Linked DNA regions of Oreochromis niloticus. The protein of the gene in region 1 purifies or fractionates together with the protein of each later gene. This does not show direct contact. Links are inferred from orthologs where the notes say so. Each region holds a gene or a part of one and is shown on either strand. Other genes may lie near its edges. The genes, in order: nelfa and nelfb.

Region 1 (7,355 bases):
AATCAGATACAGAGCTACTCTAGTTCTAAGAACACAGCTGAAAATATCATAATGGATGCTGTTTAATCCACAGTCATAGTAATATTAGTCATATTAGGATATGTTCTCCTACAGCAACGTGTGCACAGTGTAAAGTCTCATGCCACTTTCTCTCCCTCGTTTCCTCCAGCCTCTCTGTCCGCCTGTGTTTGACTACAGGAGTGGAGTGAGGTGCGTGGGATGTCGGGTCACCAGCTGCCGCTCAGCACTTCCTGCCATAAATAAATCGTACCAGCTCCAGCACGCTGCCTGATTGTAGACTGTTCACTAAGTTGAGCACAGCTCTGCACATCTTACACCTCCTCTCTGTCTCCAGCCTCTACCTTCCTCCACCTTCAACTCAGCTTTAGGCTCTCCTCCTAGACCTTTCCCTTCATTTCCATTTGGAACAATCCATTTACCCCCCCTTCCTGGCAATTGGCCATGCTGTTTGGGTCACAGCCGCTGGATCTAACTTATCTCCTTGTCTGTCAGAGTAATCGAGGGGTGCAGCGATTGTTCTCAGTTGCATTAACCTTCATTTCTTGGGTCAAACTATATAAACAGAGAATAAAAGTCATATCAGCTGATCCAAAAGCAGGTATGTGTGCCCTGAACTGAAATCAGCACTACAATTCATACGTAAGCTCGGGGTGCTTGGAGTTAAAGTGTAAAATGTACAAGTTCCAAAAATATTTCACAACAATCAAAACTGTAGCGACAAAAAAAATCCCTATTCTTTGCAGCACAGGAATTTATAGGCACAGGTATTATGACTGCTCTTTGGCACAGTGATGGGAGTGTGTGGGTGTCTGAGGTCGTTTGGAAAATGAAGCACAGCGATCTCTAAAAGCTGCGCTCCACAATTTTCATATCTAAAAACCAGGAAATAAATGAAAAATGACTAACCCTGCGCTAAAATGCAGACGTAGACATTAACATATACTAAAGCGTACCACATAATGTCACATTTAGTATATTACAATATGGGAACTGATAGAAGCAGTCGCCACCCCCCCAAAAAGGCTCATGAAGATCAGTTATTTTATGAAATACATCAGCTGGTGCATGAATCTCTGCAGTAGTCTCTAGAATGAAAAGGAAACTAGAAAGGAGAGCTTCCACTTACCCGGGCATCTAGGTTGAAAGCGGTCTTCTTTAGATCTTGCAGCGCCCTCTGCATAAACTCAAAGGCATGACAGTCCACACATGGGCGACCTGGAAACAGCAGAAATGAGTTCAGAAACAAAGACATGGGTTTAGATCAGCGGTGTGAGATACCAAGTTAGTACAGAGCCAGTATCACCGATGCTTATAAATGCAGATTATGTAGGGGGGAGGAGCGTGCCGTGATTTATGAGGTGAATGTATCACTCATACGATTAATGTGAATGCAATTCAATGACCTCTAAATGACTGTGAATTTTGCTTTTTTTCACAACAGAACACACACGCTCACGGATTTTCACATTTTGAGCCTGAATTTTTTTTGTAAATGTGCATGACTGAAAAGCATCAAATTAGACTCCAATTTAATGCTGATTTGGCGTCTTCTTGTGGCTGCAGACATAAACTATACAATGTATTGAGTAGAAGTAGAGAATCAGTGACCTGACCCAGAGTCATCATTTACATAAAGGCACCATAAACCATATTAATGAGACTGATTAGTCTCTAGCAGAAAGCCACTGAGTGCTGTGATTTGTCATCTTTGAATTGATAATTTATTTGAAGAAAATGTGTGATTTCTTTTAAACAAATATACAGAATTTAGCTTTGTGTAAGTGTTCATCTAGATGTTTTTCTCATCTAGCTTTTAATTTACAAACAACATAATCAAGCTTTTCTACCTGAGCATTCATGAAGTCACACAATAAATAACCTTATGGATATTTTCCTTCTAACCTGCTCGGTATGTGTGCCTTTAAGCAGCAGTGGAGGCCCAGTTTCATGATCCAAGCATACATTAATTAAGATGACCTACAATTCCCTCAACAGCACCCCTTTGAGACCTGCAGTCATTAGACTGTGGAAAGATCACCGTGGCGGACACATTCTCGCTAAACATCTCAAAACTTGCACTCAACAGGCGGAGGGAAAAAATTAATCTAATTTTTAAATCCACCTACTTTCGGCAGGGATGACAGTCCCCGTCTCATGATCCGCATCAGCTGCCCCGACACAGACGAGCTGCAGCGCCAGCAGCAGCACCACTGCCTGCACATACCCGCTGGATGCCATGGCGACGGTGCGATCACTTACTCACCTCTGATCTGGAGAGTACAATTAGGCAAAATGTATAAATTAAAGGGCAGAAAATGTCCTACACGGCCGTCAGCCAATCAAATGAGGGGGGAAAATGATGGGCTTTGTTCAGATAATGCTCCAGTTTCCAACCAGTAAATGTTTGTATGTGTTTAAAAGCTCAGCCCGCACAGAGTAATTACCGCTTATCTGACCACCTGCACGGTAACCTACCGTCAATCGGCCGATGATGGTTTGCAGATCACCAGACGAGCGCAAGATGCCCACCGAGCACTGTTGTATGGAGATTAAATTAGTGCGCATGCGTGTTGGTTGGCTGAAATTTTCTTCGGGGGGCCTCGGAAACGAGACTTCCGGTGACAGCACTTAAAGAAATAAAAGCCTTGATGGGCAGTTTACCCGTAGAGTTTATTGATGGATAGGTCATGCATTTATTATCAGGATAACAGAGAGAGAGAGAGCCAGAGCAATATTTACTTAAAAACGCAATGTAAAAAGCAGTATAGTTATTATTATTAAAGATACCTCATTTGATTACCTAAATTTTAGAGATCAATACTGCATTTTATCCCGTTAATTGAGTGCAGTATATACATACATGCACAGTTTCAGCTATAATTCCAATATTTAAAATTGTGTATTTCCATTGACCTATTTTTACATTAATATAAATCTAAACTGAAACAGTTAGTCAGACTGCAGCACACTGAATCTTCATGTTTTTGACACTTACATGTTTATAGTCTGGCATTAAATGAGGCGACTATACAGTGTAAAGATATAGATACATATCCAATTAATATCCCAGGTAATAAGTAAGAGCAAATAATGATTGACTATATAATTCTTGTACACAGCACGAATTAGTGAAGCAAGCTCATTTAAGATGTCTTTGTGGATCTAAAGAAAGTGTACAGGACATGAATGATGACAGAGTGGTGGGTGTGGAGTAGGAGTGACGGATGAGTTCAAGGTGGGAGAGGGATTACATGAGGGATGGACTCTGAGCCCCTTCTTGTTTGCAGTGGTGACTACCGGGCTGACAGATGAGGTCAGGCAGGAGTCTCTGTGGACTATGATGTTTGCAGATAACATTGTGATCCATGGAGAGAGTGTGGAGCAGGTGGAAGTATGCACAGGGGAGAAGAGGAATACATGTGTGTGAATGAGAGGGAAACATGTGGAGAGCTGAACATTTATAGAAATTGAAGGTGGATGAGTTTAAATACCTGGAGTCAACCACCTAAAGCTAAAGACAAGTGCACGAGAGGGGTGAAGAAGAGAATGCAGGCGTGATGGAGTGGGTGGAGACAAGTGAAAGGATAGCAGCAAGAGTGAATGAGAAAGTTTACAAGATGGTTGTGAGACCTGCTACGATGTGTGGTTTGAACAGTGGCACTGACAAAAAGATGGACTCATGATGAAATGAATCCATCAGAGGGATGGCTCAGGTTCAGCAGTTTGGAGACAAAGTTAGAGAAACAAGGTTGAGATGGTTTATACATGTGCAGAGGAGGCATAGTGGATATATTAGACAAAGGATGTTGAAGAGGAATGCCCCAGAGAAGATTCATGGATGTAGTGAGGGAGGACTGGTGTGACAGGGGAAGATATCAGGGATACGGTGGCAGGTGAACTGCTGTGGTGACTCCTAAAGGTCGCAGCCTGAAGAAGACATATTTTAAGATAAGAGGACATAATAATAATAATAATAATAATATACTTTATTCATCCTATAGGTGGGAAAGTGAAGCACAACAAACATATGACATCGATTAAATGGGTAGGATGTGCTGTGATTTAAAATAACAGACTGCTTAAATGCAGTAAAAACAGCATAGCAAATATCGGGGACCAGTGAGAAGTGTGGCTGCCAGTGTAGTGTAGAAATAACCTGTTACTATGACAATACAGATGTTTCTCTGCTCGGCAGATGTGTAGCACTGTATTACATGAGGTAACAAAGACTTCCCGCATCTGCCCTTGTTTACACCTTCCTTCTTAAAACTTTATTAACCACACAGTGTGTAACAGTTCTACACTTAAAGGTGGATTTCACCCGCTCTCCTCGCGGCTCTGCGGTGACAATTGCCCCCCCAACCCCGGGTTATGGGCGGGGTCCTGACTGCTGTTTTCTTAGGTAGCCTGTTAAAATGCCCGAACTCAAAACACTTCTTTTTCCAAGATGGCGTCGATGAAGGACAGCGACACCGGCCTGTGGCTTCACAACAAACTAGGATCCACGGACGAGCTCTGGACGCCTCCGAGCATCGCTTCGCTCCTCACCGTGTCGGTTATCGACAACATACGGCTGTGTTTTTCGAGCTTGTCGCCGCCGGTGAAGCTGAAACTCCTGCTCGGGATGCTGCACCTTCCGCGGAGGACCGTTGACGAGGTAGGTTAGCTCGCTGTTAGCCTGGAGGGTACGATAAGTTGTTACCTCGGTTTCACGGCTGAGAAACGAGCCGATAATTGCGCTAGATTTTAAAAAATACCGAGGTCACTGTGACGGTTTAGTGGCATTTTCAAAAGCCTAACAATGTTAATAAACCTTTCCAGCTAACATTATGCTACCATGTTTATCCGAGGGCTAACCGAAGAAGCGGCAAACTCGTTATTTCCTCTACATGCTCCCGATTTTTTTTTTTCTTTTTTTAAACCCAGGCTTCAATGCACGAAACACATTTACACTTTTACCCTCTAACGACAGGATACTCCCGAGCTGACTTTACCCCTGCGCGTATTTGTTTTTCCAGCGGTTGTTTACCGGCTACAGCGGGCAACGCTAGCCTAGCGGAGCTCGCACGGACATTGTGGTGGGATGGGCGGCTGAGAGCTGGCGTTAGGCTGAAGGGCGGTACTAGCTCCCGGACCCACTGATCACCTGTTCCTCCCGCAGGAAACGATACACAGCCGTCATCTGTGCGGCTTATATAGCCAGACTGTTCATTAACAAATGCAAAATTTTTAAGCTAATTATTAATGGGGTTTCTTAAAACAAGCATTCAAGTGTGTTGTTTAAGTAAAATTGGCGGCTAAGCTCAGGAGTAATTTCCCGTATGCAAACAACGGAAGCTCTTGGCTGTTTTAATGCAAATATTTATTTTAATTAAGTGGTTTTGAAGAAGAGCAGCAAGTGTGAAAGGGAAGGTTTACTAGATGGTAGCGAGTCTTGCTATGATGAATGTTTTAGAAAGGTGGCTCTGACAAAAACACACAAGACCGAGCTGAAAATGTTAATATTTAGACAGAAATGTAAAGAAATCGATTGAGTTCAAGGCTGAGATGGTTTGGACATGTGCAGAGGAGGGAGAGTGGATCTATTGGACAAAGGATGTTGAAAATGGAGCTGCCAGACAAGAGGAAAAAGAAAACACCTCAGACGAGATTCATGGATGTAGTGAAGGAGGACATGTAGTAGGTGTGGAGGGAGAAAAAGGCGATACTTCATAGACACAGGGCCACCAAATATTAATATTTTGTAGTTAAATGCCTTCAGCTCTTTTTAACCACCATCCTGAGATAACGTTAGCTGAGCAAACTTCCATTAAATTGGTCCAACTGAAAAAACATCCAACACTGGACACATTCAGCCTGCATCCTGCGTCCTGTTTGAGAGCAAGCTAATGGCTCAGTCACAGGAGTAAAAATAGGAGAGCTACCTCCTTACAGCTTAAAAATAATTGATGTCTGCCTGGTGATTGCATGCAACAGATTATAACTTGTGGTTGCTCACAGCTTGAGGATCTTGCACTCATGACCACTTTTGATCACAAGGAGATTGCACAGGTCCCCTGATAGGAGGCCACCTTTCTGCAGACAGTCCCAATCTTGCTTGGACTGACTCCAGTCACTCTTAGAGAGACTGATCAAGGTTTCCAAATAAGTGCTGCCTAGCTTATAAACACAGACAGATTGCCAACATGCTGCCATCAGTCTGAATGACTCTTTGTCAATGAGCGCAATGCTACTTGCTGCCAGCTGTTTGTAGGATACAACTGATAATGAAAGTTTAAATTTGAGGATAAAATTTGCAGTTAAAGAAATGTGCTAAATCACAATATATTTTGACGCAATACTCAACAAATTAAAAAATGTTAAAAATTATGATATTGCATCGTGGGGTGTTTGGTTATGCACAGGGTTGGTGTGACAGAAGAGGATGTTAGGGCTAGGGTACATGACAATGTGTCTCATGCTGGAAACAATATCTCTGTGGCATTGGCTGCTATGGTCATAAAAGGGGAGAAACTCATGGCGTGGTTCTCATCCCCCCCTGACCTCGACCCTATTGAGAACCTTAGAGCATCCTAAAGGAAAAGATCTATGAACTCAAGTTCAATGGATGCAAGAACTGCGAAGGTTCTATCAAAGAAGGGGTCCCATGTTAACATGTAACTTGGCCTGTTGAGATGTTTTTGAGTGAAACAGCTTTTGATTTCAGTAAATATGACCTCAGAATGCTGCATATTGAACAAATGACCAATTTTCATTTCTTTACAACCAATAAAAGGTTTTGAAACGGCATAATCATTTGGAACAGTGCATTTTGAGTTTATTTTTGCAAAAACATAGTTATCATTGTGAGGTTGCTCTAATGGGTGATGACTTGAATTATACTGACTGTCATTTGCATCGACTATGGAGGAAAGTCAGTGACAAATATCATTTGCAAAGTATTTTGGAACAGGGTTTATTTTGGCAACACTGAACCCATAAGTGCAGGGAGGTGGACAGAGTCTATAGCCTTAACTCTGTCATGTGGCTATTAACCGGACTGCATTTAATGGTTGGTTGAAGCTGGCGTCCTCCTCGTGTTACATGTTGGATCGCTTCTCTTTGATAAACATCACTGCACAAAATCAGGTTTCTTTGTATCCAGTAGTTAAAGTCTTGAAATTGCAGTTATGTAAATGTTGATTCATGCTGGATTTCCAGAGATGGAGGAGGTTTGAATTCAAAAGATGGAAAAATGGGAAATACTCTGGGATAATAACTAGTATTCAGAATACTTTTATATTATTTCAGTCACGCTCTGAGGGTTTGTTTAATCTGGACTTTTTTTGTCTGTA
Region 2 (8,129 bases), on another chromosome or scaffold:
CAAAGCAACAAGGTGATATATACCAGTTTTTAAATTGTGTTGATAGGCCACGTAAAACCAGAGTCATGATAAACAATATATACGCGTGTTTTTTTTCCTGAATAGTTTCATCACGTTTACTGTCTAAGGACAGCGCTAGCAAGCACTCTCTGCTTATGAGCAAAAAACCAAAACAAAAAAACAAACAAAAAAAACCCCTGCCCTTTTGTGTTGGTGGAAAAATGTCGACCAATCAAAAAATGATATGGCAACATGACATTTGGTTGTTTAGGAAGAGTGGGAAGTTTTATGAGTGACGGCGAGAGAGAGAGAAAGAAAGACAGCAGAAAAAGAGAGAGAGCGAGTTTTGAGATGTGAGAGATTTGTGACGTTTGGCGTGTTTGGAGTGTGTAGTTAATGTGTTGTCTTGCGTAGTTAGTGTGTAGTGTTGTGGATAGTTTTGTGTTGTGTGTCAGAACAATCAGGTTACTGCTGTCTCCAGGTAGAGAACAGGAGTGATACACCTGCTGCTGTCAGACCTGCAGGAATCAGGCTGTGATGTTCTCCTTTATAGTGGACAGAAATATTTGGAGTGGCACAAATAATTTGTGTGGCCTCTTATTGAATGTAGAACAGCTGATTGTTCTGTAAATAGTTTGAAATGGTTATTTAAAAAAAGGGGTAAAAGGTAAATGGCTGCAAATAACTTTGTTGTTTGCAAAACTTGTGCATATGATTTTAAAATTGACAATTTATATTTGCATTTAAAGTTATGAAATATGATTCATTAAACATGTTTGTGGTTGTAAAAAAATATAACTTTTTTTCTACTCTGATTTTATGTTTTTTGTCTGATTTTAGATCAATTGTGTTAATACAGTATGTCAAAATGAAAACATAACTGTAAATTCAGACATGTGAGGTTGTGCTGAAAAGGATGATACCAAACAAGGCAAAGTAAATAGTTTTTAAAGGTGAAATGTAGAGGGAAAATCAAAAGTAGTGAAAAATGGCCAATTCTACCCTGGACCCCACAGGGTTAAACATTTTTTTAAAGTAACGCAATAGTTACTTTTCAAGTAATTAATTACTTTTAGAATCTTGTAACTCAGTTACTAACTCAGTTACTTTTTTGAAGAAGTAACTAGTAACTATAATTAATTACTTTTTCAAAGTAACTTGCCCAACACTGGTTATTGGTTGATTCTAAGTGATTCTAATTCCAATGTGGCGTCATGTCCTTTTTTATTACCCAGTATGGTTTTGTAGGTCACTGGATGAATCCAGGCAGAGAGACAATTGGAGCTTTGGATTTAGGAGGAGCATCTACCCAGATTACTTTTGAGACCTCTGAAAAGGTGGAGAATAAAAGTAACACAATGGAGTTGAAGCTTTTTGGAAAAACCTACAGACTATACACCCAGAGCTTCCTGTGTTACGGCCAAGACCAGTATTTAAGGAAACTGCTGGCTCATCTCATTAAGGTACTGTTCAACAAGTTAAAAGACTCTAACTGTTAATGGCAACCATTTCAATTGTAATCATCCCTGTTATAATGATTCTGTATCTTCTTAACAACTGAGAAGTTCAGATAGCAAGACCATATAAAACAGCATATGTAAACATGTTATTGTCTTGCTGCAGTCCTACTAAACAAAAAGGATGTTTGAAACACATCTCCATTAAACTTACTAAATAGATTAAGTTCACATTTGTTACATTTTGGGATCATATTGTTACATTCTTGCTAAGAGAGAGATGAAAGCTTGCCATAAAGATTGAACAGGAGAACTGCTAGCTTGTTAACCAAATTAAATTACCAGTCTTTACCAGTTTTAGGAAAATCAGAGTTGTTGCTACGAGGAACCTTAGAACAATGCAGTATCTGTGTTATGGATGGCTTTTATATGGTGAAATGATCTTTGTAAAAAAAATTATTAAAAAATGTTTTCTAATAAAATTTTAATCTTCTAACTTTAAGGATAACTATCAAAACAGCACAGTGTTCCACCCCTGCTATCCAAAGCAGTTCACCGAAAGTGTCATCCTGGGGAAGGACGTCTTTGATTCTCCGTGTACTGTGGACTCCAAACCAGACAAGATTGACCTGAAACTGAATGTAAAAGTTGTGGGCACAGGAGACTACCAAAACTGCTTAGAGAATGTAAAGAAGATGTTCTCCTTTGAGAATTGCAAATACTCCAAGTGCTCCTTTAATGGAGTCTTTCAGCCCAGCTTGAGAGGAAGATTCATGGTGAGAGGCTTTTAGATGTTGTCTAAAATATCCTATATTGAGGCAAAAAAGCATAGAAGCATAACGTAGACTCATTTGCTACGTTATGTATGCTCTTCACTGAATGAGCACTAATTTTTGCTTTCTGATATCCTTTCTTCTTTACACACACACACACACACACACACGCACCCACACACACTCCCACATACATTGATTGATTGATGATTGAAAATACTCCTAAACACTAAAAATGGAATGCATTACAGGCATTTGTATCAGGACCTAATGGATTGTACTAATGCTTCCTTCGTGGTTACAGGTCACATTTTTAATTCTGTCTTCAAAAACAGATGGGGGATACTTAACCTTCATCCATTGCACTATTCTTTCTTCTCCACAGGCATTCTCTGCTTTCTACTTCACTCACAAATACATCTCTACCCTCACCAACATGGATATGACGTCTCCTAATCAAACTGCAGAGGCTGTCCAGCGCGTCTGCAGCATGAGCATCTCTGAGGTACTGTCCATAAAGACTTTGAGACGTGTTGATCCTCACCATGTTACTCTAAGGCTCTAAAGTGACTGTTGACATATATCTACATATATTATCTATTATATATCTATCAATATCTCTGTTTCTGCACTTGTTTTTTATGAGTGCTTGATGTTTGTTGTATATTTCCGGCTTTGACAACTCAATTTCTCTCTGGGATTGATAAAATCTCTCTGATTCCGATGAGCTTTAAATAACATAATACAAAACCTCACACATTGTATTTTTACTTATAGATGACGAATAGGACAAAGCAGGATAAGAAATACATGAAGAATGTCTGTGCTGTCTCCAATTTCGTCCAGGTGCTCTTAACACAGGGCTACCATTTTGATGAGGTTTTCCTTCCTTCTATTTCTTTTGAAAAAAAGGTGAGAGGTGAAACGAAATGATTTGCTGGAATTTAGAAACTGATAGAATCCACAATATGATGTGATATCACTGCACCTCTTCTTGTGTTTCTGTAGGCCGGAGGAGCATCTGTAGGCTGGGCTTTGGGTTACATGCTAAACCTCACCAATCTAGTTCCAGCCGAAAATCCTGTAGTGATGAAGGCCCTGCCCATAGGGCCCTGGAAAGGCATCCTCTTCTTCTCCATCATCCTTATCTTCTTTGCACTGGGATACCTTCTCTTTGTCTACAGAAAAACAAAGGCTAATGAAGGAATGGTTTGAGAGCAAGGATAGCCAAGTTGAAGTAAATTTCTCTCAGGCAAAAAACCTTCAGTAAACACCTTTTTAATTTTGGCTTTTTATATTATGTAGCGAAAATCATTTTTAAAGTAAAGCTTACAAGTTTTGCTTTAGATTCACAAATTTCAGTAAATGTTCAGCTTACTCATGTCAGTGTGCACAAAATCCAAAATAAATGGGATTGTTTTTTAAATGTTCCAGACTCAATGTGCAATACAATACCACTTGTGATTAACTTGTCATTATTTAGCACTTTTCTAGTTTGAATGAGCACTGCAAGTAGCTTTTACTACAAGCTATAGTACATAACCCATTCACACACACATTCAGGCAGTCTATGAATGCATTTTCTATCACACACTCATACTATCTCTGAACAAATCAGGGACAACTTAAGGTTCAATATAGAACTGTGGCATACATACTCTAAGACACCACTAACAGCTAATGTGTCATTCAAAATAGCCATGTGCCTAACTGAAGGCTTTTGAAGACTGATGTGTTATCCATCCATCCATCCATTCGCTTCCGCTTATCCTTTTCAGGGTCGCGGGGGGCGCTGGAGCCTATCCCAGCTGTCATAGGGCGAGAGGCGGGGTACACCCTGGACAGGTCGCCAGTCTGTCCCACGGCCAACACACAGGGACAGACAATCATTCACACCTAGTGACAATTTCGATTATCCAATTAACCTATCCCCACAAGCTGCATGTCTTTGGACGGTGGGAGGAAGCCGGAGTGCCCGGAGGGAACCCACGCAAACACGGGGAGAACATGCAAACTCCACACAGAAAGACCCTGGCCTGATGGTGGAATTGAACTCAGGACCTTCTTGCTGTGCGGCAACAGTGCTAACCACCGTGCCACCGACTGATGTGTTATGTTTAAATTTAAAAAAAAAAAGTTGTTAGTTGTTTTGATGGAGTAAATCTTTTCGAATATGTTCAAACTTTTTTGTATGAGTCTGCAAACGTACTTTTTGATCTCTAGTTAAGCATTTTAAAATGGCTTTATATGAGACTTTAAATAAAACTTTAAATGTATTTTTCCGAGGTAATTATACTTCTACCACGATCTTTGCCACAATTGAATCCTCCCATGTATTTCAATTGAGAAGTTTGTGAGTACGGCGAATTTACGGTGGAGCAAAGGGAGTTTGAAATAGAGCAGACAGCGTCAGCTGAGTTCACCGCGAAAAAAAAACCACAGTATGAAAAGCAGAGACAGTAAAACACTTTTTTAACACTCGGTTTTACATCAGCTCTTTGTACGTTATGACTTCGCGCTTCTCCGCAGCTTGCAATCGAACCCCTTGATGCTCGCCCTTTTACCGCAGAGCACGCTGGAACGTTTCATCGCGGATGTTTCTGGCGGAGTGTTTACAAAGTTGCAACACAGGAAGCTCTCAAAAAGGCGAATGTGTTGTTTTCTGCAGAAGGAACTTACTTTTGTTGACTAAACTCCCGTCAGAAGACATCATTTGGACTTAGATCATTTAATTGATGCTTAAACTGAAAGCAAAATGTTCGCGGGGCTGCCTGAGCTTGGTATATCCAACGGAGAGGATCTTAAAGAAACTCTCACTAACTGCACAGAGCCACTGAAAGCCATCGATCAGTTTCAGGTAACACCCAACAGCTTAGTGCCTCGAGTGATAGAGTGTACATTTCGACTAACGGTAAATAAGCGTTCCCGGATTGATAAACAAACGATAACGTATGTTCTTAACCATCCAAAGCTAGTCACCGTTCTCCGTTGTTTCCTACTAAGCTATTTTCATCACTGTTGTAGCAATAAACAACAACAAAACAACACAGATTGCAAAAAGAGAAAGTGGGAGAAATGGTCAATGAAATTTGCTCTCCACTTCAAGTTCATATTTTTGAGCTAATATCCTGCGTTTAAAACTAATCAAAATGCAGGATATTCATCGCCTTCTCACCCTTTATTCCGATCTCTCCCGCTAGATCTGTGAAAGCAGGAGAGAGGATTGGAGATGGCAGACAATCTTTGAGCGTAATCTCACAATGCACAGAACGTGTGCCGTTCTGTTGTGGTGTTCGTTTGTGGTGTGTTTGGAGTGTTTGTTTTTTTTTTTTACCTCCAACTACCAACCTCTGTATATTTTATATATTTTATTTTATTGTTTACTCTATTTAATTTGTAAAATATGTATACACACACACACACACACGTAGAAAAACATATTTAGTATACACATCCAGTAATGCATATACTCTTATATATTGTACATATATTTATTACTTTCAGATTTAGCCATTCTTATATTTTGCTTGTTTTACGTTATTGTATTTTTGCACAACTCTGTTGCTTGTGAAGCTCGCACACAAGAATTTCATTCGCATGTACTGTACCAGTGTACCTGCACATGTGACGTGACAATAAAAGTGATTTGATTTGATTTGAGAGTAGGTGATATAAGTCGACGACAACTTAGAGCTTTAGAGAGTTTGAACTGCTATTTATTGTCTTAAATAGGTAATACAGTTTGAGGACAAAACCATAGACTGTATATGAAAAATGGGCATACTTTTGTCATGTGAAAATGTGAAAAGTGAAACCAGTAATCGTACTATTTGGCGTTTCGGTTTTATATCGGTGCTCAGGAGATAACCCAGACTGAATGGGCCCCATGGAGATGCAGCAAAAAACAGATTCCTGCCCCTGTCGTGATTTGTGCATTTTTTATTTTTGTTTTATTTATTTAGTTATTATTTTTGCATAGAAGAGGTTAAGAGGATTTAGTCCCATTTAAAAAAAAAAAAAAAAAAAAAAAAAAAAAGATATTTAAAAAGACTTGTAGTCAAGTCAATCTTCCTTAAGTATTAGGGATGTCACAGACACTCTTTATGGCAACAGTGGGAAGGAAAAACTTGTTTTTAACAGGAAGGAACATTGTATAGTGGGATTAAGAGTAATGGCTCTACCATATCTAAACCTGCATTCTTTTACATTGCCACCTTGGGGCAATACCTTTGGTTGTATAGACATGTATGGGAAAGCAACCATTAAACTTCTTTGATTTGTGGCCTCAATAGACACTTTACTGGGGGATTCATGGGCTCAGTATCTAGTTTCAGTTTTATTTAATACAGCCTGATATTCATGTTCCATTAGAGTAACTATGGAGGATAAAGCAGGATTTCTTTTACATGTGATTGACTAGTTGGTAAGATATGAGCATGCGGTGTCTCTCGATGGCACTAAACAGCGTGGTTCAGAACGTTGGATTGATAACTAACAGGTGATGTGGCTAACTCCATCTTTTGCACATTTCTGCCCCTGCTGATTTGTAAATTCCAGCTATGTCGCTTGTCCTTAAAATGGCACAGATGTAATAGTCTGGTGCAGTCAAAGAGATGAGCACTATCCATGCAGTGTCCACGAGAGTATGTAATCACTGTCTTATAAGGCCCGTTGCATGTGTAGTTTGTTTCATAGAAGAGTCTGTGTAGGTTCTCAGTCACCCAGGTCATGGTAATCTAGGAGCTTGGAAATAAAAGTTTCTTGAGGATCACCTTTCATCCAAGAAGCCTCTTCAGTTCAGGGAACTACTTCAGAAAACTGAAGAAGCTTTTTGGATGAAAGAATCATGAACAAAACATCTTCAAGAAACTTAAAGAAGTCCAGTGACTGTGAAACACACTGAACCAGTGATTGCCTGCAGTTTAAAACTGACTGGCAGGGATCCACCGAGCAGATCTCACTGATGTCCAGGTCATGAAGAGACTGGCTGTAGTAAAATAAGAAACACATTTTAATAAATGATTGTAAAAGTAGAAAAGTTAAAGTTTATCATCTTGTCCACATCTGCGGTGAATCTTTGAAATAAAATGCTCCAACATTTTTCCCTCCTGGGTCTCTTTTTTTTGTCCTCAGTTTTTTTTTTTTTTTTTTTTTTTTTTGGAGCAAACACATTTGTCCCTCAAGTTTTTCCACTTCTTTGTACATCCCCTCATGTTCCTTCCAATAGCTTCACCAGTCTTTGCTGCCTTGTAATGATGCTTTGTTTATTATTTCCTATATTGAGAAGATCATTGTTATTCTTTCACTGATAAATTAAAAGACTGCAGCCAAAAAGTAGCTAGAAATTTGGAGGAGGAATGAACAGTGCTGAAGTAAGTGTGATTTATAGGGCGGAGAATGTCAAGTTACAACATAGGTAATACCTTAGGTTTTCAGAGGTGTTACAATGTAAACTAAAATATAACATAATTAAAATAGAAATATCCTGTGTTTCTGTTTTTGTCAGTTTGACCAGATTTGCCAGTTCAACTTTCTGCATTAAACGGAGTCTATCTTATCAGAGCTTTAACAATCTTGAACATTTTCAGCTTGGGAACATGCCAAGGCAGTTTTATTATTTCCCCAGATACCAACCATTATGACAGAGCTACAGCAAATCAGTGATTTAATCAAATTCAGATTCACTTGCAACAAATTCAGTAACTGTTTATTTGAGTTTTTCAAGCACCAATCCCCAGCATTCACTGGTAATACTGAGTATTTGTGGCTTTGTCGGGTGTTTCTTTTTGTTTGTTTGTTTGTTTGTTTGGTTGGTTGGTTGGTTGTTTTTTTTTTTGGCATCATGCTAAGCTCAAAATAGTTAGGTTTTTGACTGGTCATCAGGGAAAAAAGGACATTT

What was found.
Region 2: the proteins of nelfa (region 1) and nelfb purify together in Homo sapiens (affinity purification with mass spectrometry; 8 studies listed by BioGRID and IntAct, counting the BioPlex papers as one, with this or other methods). This does not show direct contact. The link is inferred for Oreochromis niloticus from reciprocal best matches to the Homo sapiens genes NELFA and NELFB.

Annotation. Positions count from the first base shown.
Region 1 is NC_031967.2:22,301,990-22,309,344, forward strand, and holds the start of nelfa (negative elongation factor A), read left to right. Parts: upstream 1-4,349; 5' UTR 4,350-4,468; coding exon 4,469-4,678; exon of another isoform or gene 4,679-4,699; intron 4,700-5,050; exon of another isoform or gene 5,051-5,606; intron 5,607-7,355. Other genes in the region: nicol1 (NELL2-interacting cell ontogeny regulator 1), read right to left, coding at 1,148-1,236, 2,148-2,259. UniProt on the Homo sapiens protein: Essential component of the NELF complex, a complex that negatively regulates the elongation of transcription by RNA polymerase II.
Region 2 is NC_031977.2:1,194,034-1,202,162, reverse strand, and holds the start of nelfb (negative elongation factor B), read left to right. Parts: upstream 1-4,947; 5' UTR 4,948-4,985; coding exon 4,986-5,087; exon of another isoform or gene 5,088-5,399; intron 5,400-8,129. Other genes in the region: ectonucleoside triphosphate diphosphohydrolase 2, read left to right, coding at 1,236-1,463, 1,961-2,233, 2,616-2,735, 3,008-3,142, 3,239-3,445. UniProt on the Homo sapiens protein: Essential component of the NELF complex, a complex that negatively regulates the elongation of transcription by RNA polymerase II.